Arabidopsis thaliana: one gene and its partner. The protein of the gene in region 2 purifies or fractionates together with the protein of the main gene of each other region. This does not show direct contact. Each region holds a gene or a part of one and is shown on either strand. Other genes may lie near its edges.

Evidence for each region. The genes of interacting proteins can lie anywhere in the genome.
Region 1: the proteins of AT1G72660 (region 2) and AT1G51730 fractionate together in Arabidopsis thaliana (co-fractionation; one large-scale study listed by BioGRID). This does not show direct contact.

What each region holds. Positions count from the first base shown.
Region 1 is NC_003070.9:19,185,939-19,190,506, forward strand, and holds AT1G51730 (Ubiquitin-conjugating enzyme family protein), read right to left. Parts: upstream 2,868-4,568; 5' UTR 2,701-2,867; coding exon 2,694-2,700; intron 2,526-2,693; coding exon 2,460-2,525; intron 2,376-2,459; coding exon 2,308-2,375; intron 2,190-2,307; coding exon 2,156-2,189; intron 2,069-2,155; coding exon 1,999-2,068; intron 1,919-1,998; coding exon 1,861-1,918; intron 1,734-1,860; coding exon 1,605-1,733; intron 1,483-1,604; coding exon 1,391-1,482; intron 1,283-1,390; coding exon 1,204-1,282; intron 1,118-1,203; coding exon 1,036-1,117; intron 948-1,035; coding exon 874-947; 3' UTR 550-873; downstream 1-549. Other genes in the region: AT1G51720 (Amino acid dehydrogenase family protein), read left to right, coding at 81-154, 284-359; SYP81 (syntaxin of plants 81), read left to right, coding at 3,125-3,202, 3,366-3,449, 3,553-3,657, 3,963-4,106, 4,213-4,458, 4,543-4,568.
Region 2 is NC_003070.9:27,351,912-27,357,383, forward strand, and holds AT1G72660 (P-loop containing nucleoside triphosphate hydrolases superfamily protein), read left to right. Parts: upstream 1-1,853; 5' UTR 1,854-2,023; exon of another isoform or gene 2,024-2,190; 5' UTR 2,191-2,249; coding exon 2,250-2,319; intron 2,320-2,436; coding exon 2,437-2,504; intron 2,505-2,585; coding exon 2,586-2,662; intron 2,663-2,691; exon of another isoform or gene 2,692-2,757; coding exon 2,758-2,938; intron 2,939-3,023; coding exon 3,024-3,080; intron 3,081-3,186; coding exon 3,187-3,261; intron 3,262-3,425; coding exon 3,426-3,545; intron 3,546-3,708; coding exon 3,709-3,879; intron 3,880-4,038; coding exon 4,039-4,152; intron 4,153-4,283; coding exon 4,284-4,454; intron 4,455-4,536; coding exon 4,537-4,632; 3' UTR 4,633-4,941; downstream 4,942-5,472. Other genes in the region: TRFL6 (TRF-like 6), read left to right, coding at 1-397, 638-775, 950-1,234, 1,311-1,367, 1,486-1,572; iqd8 (IQ-domain 8), read right to left, coding at 4,987-5,472. UniProt on the Arabidopsis thaliana protein: Binds GDP and GTP, and has low GTPase activity.

The DNA of each region.
Region 1 (4,568 bases), 8.2 Mb from region 2:
ATGTCTCATATTTCTTTCAAAAATTTACAGCTTTGGCCTGTGATAATTTCCTATTAAGATAACTGCTCTGATATTGATAGGAAGCACTGAAGCAGACTTATGAAAAAGCTCTTAAAGCAGCAAATGATTTCGGTTATCAAAAAGAAAGTCCTGAGTAAGTTTTTCTCCTCGTCATAAACCAACAGTTACTGTACTATGTTGGCCTAAGCTGCTCTGTAGCTTCCTCGTGCTCGTTACTATTGTGAATCCAAAGGATTGGAATAATATTCGGTTTTGATGTCAGGGCACTACTTCATGGAGCAACGATTGCAGCATTTTTGAACATAGCTCAAGCCATGACGGACCAAGGTTGTGTCTAGCAAAATGGCCCTGCATCTTAAGTACCGGCAGGAGTTCTGTAAACGTAATGAAGTAACATTGGACTCTCTGTAACATATTAGATGGAAATCTATATCATTATTTAGAAATTACATACTCTGATAGGAATAAACCTTTTTCAGCCATAGTATGTTAACTTAAGTTATGTGACTAACAAAGATGGAAGAAACTGATAACGCAGAGCTTAAACAAGGTTGCAAGGGTCCAAATTTTAACTATTTGTCTTTTGACAGAGAGATTTGCTTTGAGCTGATGCTAAACAAAAAAGTTACAAAATCAGTGGCATTCTCTCCTACAGTGTTTTTATAGATGACATGGTAAATTTTATAGATTTAAGACAAATGGTAATTCTCAGGGTACTCTTGAGTGGATCAAAACTCGGAAAACTGAAGATATGGAGATTAAATGCTTCTCAATGCAAGGTCAGTATCTTGCATCATGATCTCTATCCAGAAAAGAGCTTCAATTATCAGTATATAAGGCTCTCCCTTAGCTTCATGTCCTTGTTGGGGGAGCGGAAGAATCAGATTTCTCCGCCAAATAGTGCTCAAGCATGTCTTCTTCGTCATCTGTATCAAAAAAAAACAAAGCGGTTCTTGAGAACCATTGGTTGCTTATGGATAATCGCGTGTAAACCAAAAAGAAAGACTATTTCACCTTCAAAGTCTTCGTCTTCAAAGTCGATGTCTTCCTCATCTTCCTCCTCATCTTCCTCATCAGCAATGACCACCGTTCCTCTCTGAACAAGACAGTTAACAACAATAGTACTTGTTTAGATAATGAAATTCTAACATGAGTCCGATAATAAACAAGAATGAGACATACCCCTCTCCCACTTTCGAACCACTGTCTTCCTGTAAGCTTCTTCTCCTTAGGTGCTGTAAGAGCAGACTCCGGCATCAACCTTAGAAATTAATTCACGGCCACAGATAAAAAATTAATAACTCAGTCAGTGTTCAATGGTATATAAGAGCAAGGAAACAAGAAGAATATGCAGGGAAAGTTTACTCACTTGGCTCGCTCAAGTGCAAGCTCTGCCTCATATCTCTCTCTCCACGCCAAAAATGTCTCTAGCGTAACAGGTTCTCCATGAGGGACAATTACCTGCAAAAATAAAATTTAGACAGGAAGAGAACAAGCGATACGAAGGCAGACACATATATCATGCAAAAAAGACTTGAGGTTCTTTGCAGCTTATATCTGAAATACTGAGCAGACAACAATACCTCATCCTCTTTGGCAGCTTCTACTTCGGCAAATTCAGCTGCATCATCTTGCCCATAGTGTTCAGACAACCAGTCCTTTGCTGATGAGACCAGTGTATAGATCATGGCCATACCTAGATTTTCAGATGCCTGTGAAAAATAGCTTTGTGTTCAGGCATGCAATTCGGTGTAGAAACAGCATAGACCAGAGGCCTTCCAGTTTTATACTTCATGTATAAAATTTATAACAAGCCATAAAGTTGTACAAATATATTACCTCTTGTTCAAGCTTCTCTTTCAAGATGGTGAGGTCACTAACATGGATTCCTCGAATACTGGAAGAATACTCTACCCACATGAGTGTCATCATCATATATCTGTTTTAGCTTGATAAAATTGGTTAACCAAGAATTACCTTTTAACATCCAAAAGCGGAGCCTCGTCCGGGTAATTTTCTGTGTGCGAGAAAACCAAAGCCAGCTGAACTGCAAGACAAATTGAGAGCTATAAGACTGAGAAAGTACAGGAGAGGCATATGATACAACAAGGTATCTTCTTTAAAGACCAATAACCTGGTGGGATTGCTAATTCCTCCAGTTCATCATCCTATAAAGACCAAAGAAGAAGCAGAAGATATTTCAGTTGACATTTCTACACTTATAACACATAAGCTTTTCACAAATGACAAACAAAGTGAAGGAAATAGATGAATGGTGTTGTCTACCTGAGGAGTCACTGTAATCTGAAAGCATCGATTCGAAGTATTAAGCCCACTTTCACTAGAATGAATTTCTGTTCACAAAACAGTCGTTAAGGATTCAATGCTCTCATCATCGGCTCAATGATGAACATACAAGGAAACTAAAAAAAACTCACCTTTAAACTCATCCATAAGTATAGCTTCAAGAGCTTCAATCTCCATTTCCTGCTCCTGCTTATACTCTACAAGAGACACAACATAACACCCAATAATTCTCAAATCAATCTGTCAGAAATCAAGATCAATCGGAATCTAATTACTCTCCCATCTAATGATAAGCTTAAGGAATCAAAGATTCGATGTTAAACGAAGAAATTAAGAAACTTTTGAAGTAAATTGATCGAACTCACCCGTCATGATGACCAAATTTGACACCTTTGTCGTGGAAGCTTTTGAGATTGCCTGAATATCGAACTCCACAGTGAGAGTCGCCTCGTGACCAAGAGCGACGTTAACGAGAGATAAACCTAAAGGAGAGAATCAGAACTTTACGATCCCCAAAACGGTGTCGTCGAATGGATTTCTCACTTTATTTTATTTTTTACGAAACAGAAAAAAATGAAAGGCCTTTTTCTCTCTCTCTCTCTCTCTTCTCGCTTCTCTTCTCCTCTCCGATCTTCTCTGTGACCCTCTTCTTCTTCGATTTCCTTTGGGTTTCTTCTCCGAATCGCCGGAGAAAAAAACCCTTCTTTGAATCTAAAGAGACTGTTTTTTTGAAGCTATTGACTGATTGATTGATAAGGAAGAATAAGCATTGATCGATCTGAATTTTGGGTACAAGATGTCGAGATTCAGAGACAGGACGGAGGATTTCAAGGATTCTGTTCGGAATTCCGCTGTTTCGATAGGTTATAATGAGGTACGCGAGTCACCTTTCGTCTTCAATCTCGTTTGATCGAAGCTATTTGTCAAAAAGAGAGGATTTTTTTGCATCTCAATTATGATCATTCCTTAGGGTTTTCAGGGTTTTGGATTGTTGTTTTTGTTAACATTTATCTGATTCGTTTGTATTTGTGTGGCAGTCTAAAGTGGCATCAACAATGGCGTCTTTTATTATACATAAGCCAAAGGAGAGATCGCCTTTCACGAAAGCTGCTTTCAAAACGGTACCTTTAGTGATTCAGCATTTTTATCTGAAATATGTTTGTTGCATTATTGAATGATTCTGATGTGGTGTTGCTACCAACTTGTCTATGTTGGTTGATTTAGCTTGATAGCATCAAGGAGTTGGAACTGTTTATGTTGAAGCATCGAAAGGATTATGTTGATCTGCACCGGACTACAGAACAGGAAAAGGATAGTATTGAACAAGAAGTAAGTACTCTGAGCTAGGCTTGCCCGTAGTATATATCTGAACTCATGAAGTTACTGCGATAAATCTATGCTTGAGTTGAGATTGAACATATGGAACTATGGAATCATAAGAAATGTAGCAACTCATATTGAGATAACTCAGGAAGATTAATGTCTATTACTTTAGATAGCGAGGGAGTTAGTATATTGTGACACTGAGGAACTTGGATCTTGTATTCTTATACCTCTTGCAGTGTTTGATCGAGAACTATGTCTACTTATGTGTTGTGTAATATCATCAAACTCTCTCTCTCTCCCTCTTGCAGGTTGCTGCTTTTATTAAAGCTTGCAAAGAACAGATCGATATTCTCATAAACAGTATTAGAAATGAAGAAGCAAACTCCAAAGGATGGCTTGGCCTCCCCGCAGATAACTTCAATGCTGATTCTATAGCACACAAACATGGAGTGGTATGATATGCACCAATGTAGTAAGCCAACTTTGGTTTTTTTTTACTATGTTTTCTTTCAAAGTATCTAGATGTGTAGAAGTAATGGTAATTTTTTTTGTATGCAGGTTTTGATTCTGAGTGAGAAACTTCATTCAGTCACTGCCCAGTTTGATCAGCTTAGAGCTACTCGTTTCCAAGATATTATAAACAGAGCTATGCCGAGAAGAAAACCTAAGAGGGTCATAAAGGAAGCTACCCCAATTAATACAACTCTGGGAAATTCGGAGTCCATAGAACCGGATGAAATCCAGGCCCAACCTCGTAGATTACAACAACAACAACTTCTAGACGATGAAACACAAGCCCTTCAGGTAACAAGGCAAATATACATGATCTTCGAAAACTTGCATAAGTTTTGTAGTTATGCTAAATTTTGAAATTGATAATTTTTGCAGGTAGAGCTAAGTAATCTTTTAGATGG
Region 2 (5,472 bases):
TAGAAAGGAGATGGGAGATGACGTAAGAGCTACTAAAATGAAAGATGCTCCATCGAGTACTGATCATGTGAATGGACATTCAAACGGTGGCAACCACTATTACGCTAGTGAGGATTATTCCAGTGAACAGAGGGCTGCAAAACGAGTTAGGAAGCCTACACGAAGATACATTGAAGAACTTTCGGAAACAGATGATAAACAGCAAAATGACAAGTCAGTGATTCCTTCTAAAGATCAGAGGTTGTCCGAAAAATCTGAGGTCAGGTCTATCAGTGTCTCCTCAGGGAAGAGAGTTACTGTCACCAGGATGGTATCCCTTGCTGGATCTGAAATTGAGGTTCCTTATGTTTCTCATGTCCGGAGAAGCCGTCCAAGAGAGAACATTATGGCTCTTTTGGTATGTCTCTTGGTTACTCATGCTCCTCAATATAGTAAATTAATCTCATACCTTTCCTTTGAACTGAAAAAAGCTTCCAATCATCTGGCTCGTGTTACATCTGTGCCTTGTGTCACATGCCAAATTCTATCTCAAGAAGCACAGATGTAAAAATAATAAAATAAGTGATCATCTTCTATGCCATTATTTTGCTTTGCTGTTATGTCGGAATGTAATTAAGGATTTTACAACATTGTGTAGGGATGTCATTCCAGTTACTTGGAAGATAAAGCTAGTGCAGCAGAGAGTAACCTCAATCTGAGTCCATCCCAGTTAAGCAGTGAGGTTGTGAACCGAGATTCGGTGGAAAAGTCTGCTTCTCGACCGGTCCAAAACGAAGTAAGAGATATCTGTTGTTTAAGTTACCTTACTCTCGTAATTCTCATTTCGTACTTTGCTGATAGTAGAAATGGTATAGGGTTAGATCTCATTTACCATCTACCTGATATAAGATGAATTTGGTGTTCCAGGTATGACACAGTTTCTCATTGCTTTATTGGTTTGCGAATGCAGTTTGCTACAAGTGACGAGAACAATGTGGAGCATATTCTCTCTGAGGTTGATCAAGAGATGGAGCCAGAGCACATAGACTCATCTGGAAATAGCTCGGATGAGAATAACATTGGTGTGCCAATCATGCAAGGTGGTGCGCTTAGAAGGAAGCATCATCGAGCTTGGACTCTGTCTGAGATAGCAAAACTAGTTGAGGGTGTATCAAAATATGGAGCCGGGAAGTGGTCTGAAATCAAAAAGCATTTGTTTTCATCACACTCCTATCGTACCTCTGTAGATCTCAAGGTAATTCAACCTTTTTAACCCTCTTTGCTTATACTATCAATCAAGGCTTTGGTTTAAACATCTTGTTGTTTTTTAGGACAAATGGCGAAACCTTTTGAAGACAAGCTTTGCTCAGAGTCCCTCAAACAGCGTGGTACCTCCCTCTCTCTCTCTCTCTCTCTCTCTCTCTCTATCCCTTTAGCTTCCAACTGGAGTTTCTTTTGCTCAAGTTGTAATAACGAGAGCTTATGAGTATACTGTCGTGTTTCCAGGGAAGTCTCAAGAAACATGGGTCGATGCATATTCCTACGCAGATTCTGTTACGGGTAAGGGAGCTTGCGGAGAAGCAATCTCAGTAAGCAAGTTTGTTGGAGATAGCAACAGAAAGGAAATGGAAACAAGGTCCGACTTCTTGTAGCTGAGTTTTTTTTGTAAAATAGCAACTCAAGTAAGGGAGACGAGAAATGTGAGATAAGATAACAGTTTCTGTAGTAGACTTGTAACTTTCTAAGGAGGCTTTGTGGGTTATATATATTTATGAGAAAAGTATTAAGTAGTGTCTGTGTCCTGAATTGGTATGAATGATTCTCTATAATATCCATGGAAGTTTGACTCGGACTTGAATTGGGCCTTTTTTTGTATTCGATCCATTATTCCTTGGAGGTGGTTCTCGACCAACACGTACATGTATCTTTCTCGCTTTCTCTAGAACCATCCTACCCCTATTAACTCATCAAAATTTCTCTCCTTTCATGCAAAAGCTTCGATCTTTTAATGTTGTTTGATCGGTAGACAATCGATGCCAAAGTGGTGAGATTTTGTTTGTTAGATATGTTACTAATTTTAGAGTTCTTTAGATGATTTATCTCAGTTTAAAGTTTGTGTCTTTTTGAGTTAATGGTTAATTTGGTGGTGATTTTATGATTTGCCTTTGAATTCTGTCTGATTGTTGTTGGTTCTTTTTATGCTGAAACTAGTGAAGATACCTCAGTCCTTACCTATCTCCAGAAATTGCAGTAGTAGATTCTGAAAGAAAATGGGAATTGTGGAAAGGATAAAAGAGATCGAAGCCGAGATGGCTCGGACGCAGAAGAACAAAGCTACAGGTTTCTCTTTACATTATATAACGTATAGATGTATAGACATTGATTTGTCATATATTTCTGAAACAAAAGCAGAAGAAATGGTCAGCTAATGAAAATATTGTTACATTTTTTGGACAGAGTATCATCTTGGTCAGCTCAAGGCAAAAATTGCAAAGCTCAGAACACAACTCTTAGAGCCTCCAAAAGTAATGCAACTTCTTATTGTATATAGCTGAAGCAGAGTATTTAGTCTTCATTTCTAAATGTCTTTCAAATCTACCTAACAGGGCTCTAGTGGAGGTGGGGATGGTTTTGAAGTTACAAAGTATGGGCATGGACGTGTTGCACTTATAGGATTTCCAAGGTCTATCCTAAATTCACGCCCATCCATGATCCATGTATATGTCTTTGTTCCAACTTCAGAGTCCCTCACTATGTGTTTGTGGCTGTGATTTGCAGTGTTGGAAAGTCTACGCTTTTGACAATGTTAACTGGCACACATTCTGAAGCAGCCTCATATGAATTTACAACACTTACATGCATCCCTGGAGTTATTCACTACAATGACACCAAAATCCAGTTGCTTGATCTTCCTGGGATTATTGAAGGTGCTTCAGAAGGAAAGGGACGAGGGAGGCAGGTTTAAATCGAATTGATTCTTATTTTTTTTAGTCTCTAATCCCTTGCTATGAAATAAACTTAGATGGAAACTGTTTGTTTTTCAGGTTATTGCTGTTGCAAAGTCTTCAGACCTTGTGTTGATGGTTCTTGATGCCTCAAAAGTACGAGCTATGGTTTTGATTTCCATATAAGTATTGTGCTGGTTCTGTCTTTTTTTCGTTTTTGCTATTTTAGTCTCAGTACTTCTTCTTCCCAAAATCGTTTTAGAGTGAAGGCCACAGGCAAATACTGACTAAGGAGCTTGAAGCAGTTGGTCTGCGTCTGAACAAAAGACCTCCACAGGTAAATCTCATCTTTATCAATGGTCTCCCTTAATATCTTATAAACTAGAAACTCTTGGTTCTCTTTCACTTTATCTGCTTAATTTCTGTTTTCCATCTTTGAAAATGCTGCACTATCTTGATGTGCTACCATTTAGTGGTGTTTTGCTTTCTCTGGTCTAACAGATATACTTTAAGAAGAAGAAGACTGGTGGGATTTCTTTCAACACTACAACCCCCTTGACTCGCATTGATGAGAAGCTCTGTTATCAAATTCTGCATGAATACAAGATTCACAATGCTGAGGTACTTAAGTCCATCTTTAATCTTGTTTTTATTCAGCCTCGGACAAGAATCATTACGTGCCTCTCTTGTCCGCTAGTTAGGAGAAGAACTATAAAAACTTTAAATCATATATTTTGTTGCTTCGTTGAGAGATGTCCAATGGGTTCAGTAATAAAAATTTCAGGTTCTATTTCGTGAAGATGCTACGGTGGATGACTTTATTGATGTCGTTGAAGGCAATCGCAAATACATCAAATGTGTATATGTCTACAACAAAATAGATGTTGTTGGAATCGATGACGTTGATAGGCTGGCACGGCAGCCAAATTCTATTGTTATTAGCTGCAACCTAAAGGCAAGTTCTTTTATTTTGACTATAGTAGTGTCTAAATAAGAATCCTATCCAGTGCGGTTCTAGGTTCTTCATAATGGTCTGATTCCTGTATAGTCTGAAACTTGTGAATATACTGGAACAGTCTGGTCTAATGGTAAATGATGGTGTTGCTTGAAACAGCTAAACTTAGACAGACTACTTGCAAGAATGTGGGACGAAATGGGACTTGTGAGAGTTTACTCAAAGCCTCAAAGCCAGCAACCAGATTTCGATGAACCCTTTGTCCTCTCAGCTGTAAGTATAATATCCTCAACACTATTCAGGCTTATTTTGTATAGATAAGAATTTACAGATATGTTTTTCATGTTTGTACTTCACAATAACATCTGTGACAGTAATATTTGATTACATGTGTCACTCCTCAGGATAGAGGTGGCTGCACAGTTGAAGATTTCTGTAACCAAGTCCACAGAACTCTGGTGAAGGATATGAAGTATGCACTAGTTTGGGGCACAAGCGCTAGGCACTACCCTCAACACTGTGGTCTTTTTCATCATCTTGAGGATGAAGATGTTGTTCAAATTGTCAAGAAAAAGGTACAGAAGCATAAACTATTTTCTGATCTCTGTCTCATGATGAGAATGCTACATCAAATGTTGATGCTTGTCGAAATTTCAGGTGAGAGAAGAAGGGGGAAGGGGACGGTTCAAGTCACACTCGAACGCACCTGCTAGAATTGCAGACCGAGAGAAGAAAGCTCCACTAAAGCAATAAAACAGTTACTCATCCTGAGTTATCCCAAGTAATACAGATCTCATGTGTATTAGAACTATGTAATAGTTGTTGCTCACCAATTCTACTGTAAATTCTGTTCTTAGTCTATAAAAAGGCATTGGCATTCATATCTTGATTTCATATTGACAAGAGCTAGGAATAGATTGTTTCAGAAATACGAGAAGTAAACGATTAATGATCCAAGTGCCAAACAACGACATTTGTAGTCTCGAAACTAATTCCTTAACATTCATATGTAAAAAAAAGATAAACAGAAGTTGCTTCTGTATCTATATTCCGTGTATGTGTTTCATGGGACCAACAAGCTGTTGAGATGATTGAAGGCACGATTGCTTAGCCTCTCTGGCTCTTTGCCCACATATGTCTTCCTGTTACTTGAGCTGGTGGGTATAGATCAGTCCACTGGTTGTTCAACGGATCCGAACCAGCACTACGCCTTACATTTACATCTCCGTTGTAAGACATTGACTGTTTCTTTTCAAACGGTGTTTTGGAACAAGAGGACGAAGACCCTGATCGTCTCTGCTTAGCTTTAATAGATTGTGTGAGGCTCATGTAGCTAGGCTTTCTGTAGTACCCTCCTTCCTCAAGGAAACTTCCCGAGAAGGGAACTGGGGATTGAGAAGTCGATGAAGACTCAGAACTCGTAGCAGACGATGACATTGGAGGAGGTCTAGCCAAAACTCTGGTTGTGAGATTGTTCTTCCTGACCTGAACCGTATCATGTTCAGACACACTGCTCTCGCTTTTCCTTGCATTTTCTGATGAGTTTGTAGGACCTTCCATCAACCGACCTTCCCATGGCCTGTCTGCAACCCA